Rattus norvegicus: one gene and its partner. Each later gene encodes a partner of the first gene's protein in a complex. Links are inferred from orthologs where the notes say so. Each region holds a gene or a part of one and is shown in the gene's direction. Other genes may lie near its edges.

The links.
Region 2: Rgs9 (region 1) and Rgs9bp share a complex: the UniProt entries of both Homo sapiens proteins name them as parts of the RGS9-1-Gbeta5 complex. The link is inferred for Rattus norvegicus from reciprocal best matches to the Homo sapiens genes RGS9 and RGS9BP.

The regions. Positions count from the first base shown.
Region 1 is NC_086028.1:94,697,276-94,700,920, reverse strand, and holds part of Rgs9 (regulator of G-protein signaling 9), read left to right. Parts: intron 1-2,148; coding exon 2,149-2,633; intron 2,634-3,645. UniProt on the Homo sapiens protein: Inhibits signal transduction by increasing the GTPase activity of G protein alpha subunits thereby driving them into their inactive GDP-bound form. Binds to GNAT1. Involved in phototransduction; key element in the recovery phase of visual transduction.
Region 2 is NC_086019.1:97,385,799-97,388,482, reverse strand, and holds Rgs9bp (regulator of G-protein signaling 9-binding protein), read left to right. Parts: upstream 1-1,443; coding exon 1,444-2,157; downstream 2,158-2,684. UniProt on the Homo sapiens protein: Regulator of G protein-coupled receptor (GPCR) signaling in phototransduction. Participates in the recovery phase of visual transduction via its interaction with RGS9-1 isoform.

The DNA.
Region 1 (3,645 bases):
GTGGCTTCGCTGCTCATATCATCGGTAGAAGGCGCATGAACTGGAGGGCTGGCTTACGGAGCGCAAGCCCGGGCCTTCACGGGAAGGAACAGAGTGGAAACACATGGTTTCCTGTGAGAAAGAGCTAGGGGAGAAAAAACTGTCCTGCATCAACTAGGAAAGTGGCCATTTGCCCGGGAGAGGCCATCTCAGGCCAGGTAAGTGACGAAAAGACAGTGGCCAACGTTTAGTTCTAGGCTCTAGGAAGGGGTGAGATGGGGAAGGGAGAGAGAGAGGGAAGGAAAGAGGAGGAGAAAGGAAGAGTCAAGCCACACAGTCTCTGTTAAGTTCCTTTATCTCCAGGAGCCTCAGACTTCTTATCTGTAAAGCGGGGTGATCTCTGGAGTTCATGACATATTCCAAGGCAGAGAGGTTCAGATGCACTTAGTAGGCACCTTACCCAACCCTCTTCCTCTCTCCTCTCTCTTAGTTCAATTCCAGGACATAGAAACTACACAGGCAGGGTGATGGCCCACACACATTAATAGGGACAGCAGGGGCTTTTGGGTCACACAGCGAGGCTCAGAAGCACATCTTGCCATTGTCTTAATTTCCTATTGCTGGGTAACAAGTGAGGTCGTTCTGCTCAGCTGCCCTAGAGTCTAGCTGACTCTACACTGGGCCTGGGTTGTTCGAATGACTGTGAGAGCGGGCCTCACTCTGAAGTTAGTAACCTCCTGCCCAGGGCTCTGGCAGCCCCCTTCAGTCTTAGGGTCTGAGCAAGACCTCTGTGTGGCTGTTGCAAGGAAGGTCTGTCCCTTATTGTAGTTCTTTATGGACCTCTCTTGGGAGCAGTAGTGGTTCAGCTGTCCCTAAGACACCACCCACCTCTCCTCGGGGCTTCTGTTCATGCCAGGCTGGCCTGTGGTAAATGCCTACAGCAGGCCTTCAGAAGGGACCCAGCAGCCCACAACAATTGACCCTCCTCCGTGACCTACAAAGGAAGAGGTAGCGGCAGTGAAGAGCTCAGGGAAACCTCTGCCTTAACTTCCTTGCTCAACTTGGAAAAAAGCTCCTTCAGGTTCCCTGAGCTGAAGAAAATGGCACACCCTCCCCTTCTGCACCAACACTCTGAACTCTGGGGCCATGATGGCCCGGACAATGAGATCCTTCCTTTTTCTCTGCTGAATCACAGAATCAACTGTAGAATTGCTTCTTTCCTGTGAGCTCCTCAGGTTCTACACACAGCCTTTCTCTCCTCAGTTCCCAGGCTGAGGGGGTACCTGGGCAGGTGCTAGTATTGGAGCCCCTAACACTTTGCCAGGGTGGACACAGGTGGGTGTGGTCTCAGGTGTGGAGGCCAGCAGGGCACCAGTTGCAGGTCTCCCCATTTGCACTGATCAGTTAACATTAAACTGTTGCAGTTAAATGTCTGGGTGCGGATGGCTCAGTGGGAAAGCACTTGCCTAGCGTGGGCAAAGTCATGAGTTCAATTCCCAGCAGAACACACACACACACACACACACACACACACACACACACAACAACAACAACAACAACAACAACAACAACAACAACAAAATAGTGTCAAATCCTCCAGGTCTAAAATGATGGTGTTTGACGAAGAGGTGACCTGGGGGTAGGAGGGACAAAAAGCTTCTGGAGATTTGATTTGAGGGGTAATCAAGTTTAGCAGGGTCACACCCCAGCACCCCAGGACTGGAAGAAAGTCAGTTTGTGGCAGATGGATTCTGGCAAGAGGTGTTTGTATGGCTGGCCGTGCCACTGTCACAGGTCCCTCAGGGTAACCTTTTCAATCGATCCCTCCTGGAGGCACCCAGAACAGATTGGCATCATTGGAAGGAGATTGAGTTAGATGAGGATAGTCTGTAAGGAGATCTGGTTAGATGAGGATAGCCCATCAGCCCTGGTGGCTAGAAGGAGATTGAGTGAGATAAGATTGTAAGGAGCTCAAATTAGATGAGGATAGCCCAACAGCCCTGGTGGCTGGAAGGAGATTGAGTGAGATGAGATAAGATTGTAAGGAGCTCAAATTAGATGAGGATAGCCTATCAGCCCTGGTGGCTGGAAGGAGATTGTGTTAGTTGAGATTAGCCTGTCGGCCCTGACATGCCTCCTTACTGAACTTCCTTTTCTCCTTTCCCACAGCCAGGTCAGCACTTGGCTCCCAGCCCTCACCTGGCCGTGTACACAGGGACCTGCGTGCCTCCCTCTCCCTCCAGCCCCTTCTCACCATCCTGCCGCTCGCCCAGGAAGCCCTTCCCTTCCCCAAGTCGCTTCATCCGGCGGCCCAGCATTGCCATCTGCCCCTCGCCCATCCGAGTGGCCCTGGAGGGTTCTTCAGGGCTGGAGGGCAAGGGGGAAGCCAGCTGGTCTGGTGCCAACCCTGGGCCCCCAGTCACTGAGAGCATCGAGACCTCTGTAGACCGCTCACGACCACACAGCCAGCCCAGGGCCCCGCTCAAGGCCCGCGCTGCCCTGTCCCTTGGCAGGTTTCTGAGACGGGGCTGTTTGGCATCACCAGTTTTTGCCAGGCTCTCACCGAAGTGCCCTTCTGTGTCACACGGGAAGGTGCAGCCTCTGGGGGACATGGGTCAACAGCTGCCCAGGCTGAAACCCAAGAAAGTAGCCAAGTAAGAAGCTGGGGGAGGGGCTGGTGTTGTGTGCATGTGGACAGTGGGTGTGGGTGTGGGTGTGGGTGTGGGTGGGGTCTGTGGCTTCATGGCAATGATGGAGGCGCAGGGCTGAAATGAGGACTGTGGAAACCAGTCAAAAGTAGCCTAATTATATCCCTAAGCGGCCAAATGTCCCCCAAACCCAGTCCCATCATCTCTCCCTCTTCCGGAGATGGGAAAGAGGCAGGAGTCTTTTTATTTCTTTATCTGTCCATTTCACACGCCTGCATTTGAAAGGGGCTTCAACACTAACCACAGGCTATCTTGTCCCCAAGACATGATTCCCCAGGGACTCCAACCCTTTCTTAAACCTTAGGTGTCATGGCCTCTTTGGTCCTCACTGACACCTGCCTGCTCTCCTAAAGGGCCTCAAAAGGATATTGGTTCCTGTGGTGGTTAAAGTCATGAGTGTCAGCTTCCAAGTCTGAAATCTGAGAACCCCAAGTGTCCCGAGGCAGCCACTGTGCGCACAGCACAGCAGAGGCCTAGAGGAGTGTTTGGGATCCACAGTGTGCTGGGATTTACAGGGTGCCCCAATCCACAGCTGGGGGGGGGCACTCAGAGGCACCCCCAAACCAATCGACACAATCCTACAGTTGGCCCTGCCTGAGTTCAGAGAAAAAAAAAGGTTATGCAGGAGCCTTAGGTTGCTATGGAGACCCAGAGAGCATGGTCTTTTCAGTGCAGTGAGTGTGGGGACAGCAGGGAGCACTGGCCACTGTCCCCTTCTTGCCTGTGGCTTGGATGAGTAGGAAGGGAGGTTGGATCTGTTGCTTTAGGAAATGATGAGGATGAGTTTGTCGATTCTCCTCAGCTGGCCCTGCTGGGAGAATGTTCTAGCTCCATGGCTACTGTCCCAGTTCACATATGGGCATGGGGCTTTGAAAAGGCTTCCTTTCCAGTGTCCCCAAGAGACAGTTTAAAGGGGTTGAGGATTACGTGCTGGTATGTCAACACTACAGGGGCAGCC
Region 2 (2,684 bases), on another chromosome or scaffold:
GAGCCCCAGGAACAGATGCATCCCTCTGGACGCAGTGGACAACGTGCGCGCCACGCTGCGGACAGCAGAAGAACGGGAGAGCTAGGAGGCTTAGCCCGCAACGGGTCGGGGCGCGGGGGTGCCCAGCAGCCCAGCCTGGGGATCCAACTCAGCGCAGGGAGCCCCTCCCCCTTCCGCTCCCAGGCCCCGCCCGACCTCGGCGCCCCCAGAGAGTAGGGAGGCGGTGGAGGACACCCGCAGAATACACTTACTTAAGAGGCTACATAGTTTCACCTCTGTGCTACGACAGCACCTCTCGGATCCTGGGCTGGGACCTGAGTGCCCACCACCCGGGTGCGGTGGTTCCACTCTTCAGCTTACCTCTTTACTCCGCCGTTGGGCGGAACCCTGCTCCAGTCTGTCCAATAAGAGGTCATCTTAGCCGAGACTGACACGTAAACAGAGCAATCGTTAAGTCTAGTTCAGTCGGGGGTGGGGCCCAGGCGACTCCGCGCTTCCTACTCAGGCTAGCCCCGCCCAGAGTCAGGGAGTGCGCGTGCCCAGAATTCGAGAGGCGGGACCTAAGGAAGATCTGATATTAGGGGTGGGGTCCAAGCTGGGTCCCTGAAATGGTGTTGGACTGCGATGAAGAAAGAGAGTCCCATCTAAGTAACAATTCTACCAGGCCGATCGCCCTGTGCTGCTGGTGATGCAGACTGGAGGTGCCCAGTCTTCCGAGTCATCCTACTCTGTTGCCTACAGGGTCTCTTGGTCCTTTCCCTTCACTAGCATAGGCTCCGATAAGCTAAACCTTCTTTCTACCTAGTCTCACTTTTCCTAGTCTGCAAAGTAGTAAAAAACAAAACAAAACAAAACAACTTGGATTTGCATGGCGCTAAGGTTCCAGAATTATAATGGAAGGGAGAAGAGGAAAAGCTACACTTGACCTCTCTGGACTGGGCCCCGCCTACCCCTGGTCCAGGGATGTTGGGGGAGGCGGGGGGGGCGGGGGGCGGGGGGGCGGGGGGGCGAGAGGGCGGGAGGGAGGAAGCTCTCGGCCTAGACAGGCGGCTGGAGGCGTGTCCTAGAAAACGATCCTGCTGCCCTTGGCCAGGGCTAAGGCGCGCGGCTCAGCTTGAAGACTTGGGGTCGATCAGGATGGGGTCTGCACTCTGGGTTTCTCAGGGAGCCGCCGTGAAAAAGAAAGTTATGCAAAGACCCTACGCGTGACTCGGAGCGCGTCTAGGGAAAATGGAGGAGCGTTTGGGGAGCAGCTAACCAGACTACCTCTGTCTGTGGGAACGACAGAGGTGCATGTCGAGGGTCTCTGGAGAGCTCCGTTGAGAGCAGCGGCGAGGACATGAGGAGCATTCAGTCCGCTCTGCCCAAGATTGGCATCAGGGCTGGAGGCGACCTGCGACGTTGAGGGGTGCAAGTGGGGCACCACCGCCGGAGGGCAGCGCCATGGCCAGAGAGGAGTGCAAGGCGCTGCTGGACGCGCTCAATAAGACCACAGCGTGCTACCATCACTTAGTGCTTACTGTGGGCGGCTCCGCGGACACACAGGACCTACGCGAAGAACTGCAGAAGACCCGCCAGAAGGCGCGGGAGCTGGCCATGGCCACCGGCTCCCGGTTGACCGTCGCACTCCGCGACCGGAGCTTAGCTACCGAGGAGCGCGCGGAGTTTGAGCGTCTCTGGGTGGCCTTTTCGGGCTGCCTGGACCTGCTCGAAGCCGACATGCAGCGCGCACTGGCGCTGGGAGCCGCCTTCCCGCTGCACGCGCCGCGCCGGCCACTTGTTCGCACTGGGGTGGCCGGCGGCTCCTCTGCTGTAGCCGCGCGCGCCCTGAGCGCCCGCAGCCTGCGGCACGAAGCCGAGAGCGACTTCGACGTCGCCGATCTGCCCCAGTTGGAGCGCGAAGTCCTCCAGGTGGGCGAGATGATCGACAACATGGAAATGAAAGTCAACGTGCCCCGCTGGACTGTACAGGCGCGACAATCGGCGGGCGCCGAACTCCTGTCCGGTGCCAGTGCCGGAGCGTCCTCCGCGGGTGGCATTTCTGTAGAGGAGCGCGCGGGACCCTGCGACCCCAGCAGGGCCCTGGCTGCCACCGTTTTCAGCGCCGTGCTGCTGGTGGCTGTGGCCCTCGCCTTATGTGTGGCAAAGCTGAGCTGACTGATATCCAACGACCGTCCGCTGCCCCTTCTCTTTCCAGGGCATGGGCTTGGGGTTTGAACCGTTAAGGAGAGAGGTAGTGAGCCCGGATGTGTGCGTGTGAACATGATCCTCTCAAGGCCCACCTCTGCCTGGGCAAAACATATTTTGGTTTTGTTTTGTTTTGTTTTGTTTTGTTTTGTTTTGTTTTTAACATGCTGGCCCAAGAGGAGTTAACAGCACAGGGCGGTCAGGCCATTACCTCTAATGCCTGTAGGAGCTTTACCTCCTATTAATAGAAATCGGTCCACAGTGACCTCTGATCCCTTTGGGTTTGATGGGTTAACACATATGTCCCAGGTTTGGTGCCCTCACACTGGTTGGGAGCTCTCATTCTGCTTTAGACGAGGCAATTTGGTAAAGGTGTGGGGGGTTGTATAAAGCATGGTGGGGGGGGCATTTTGTTCCCTAGACAAGAAAGCAACTGTAGTAAGATGTGCGTGGGTACCTTAATCCTTCGGGGCCTAGGCTTTGGAAGAGTGTACTGA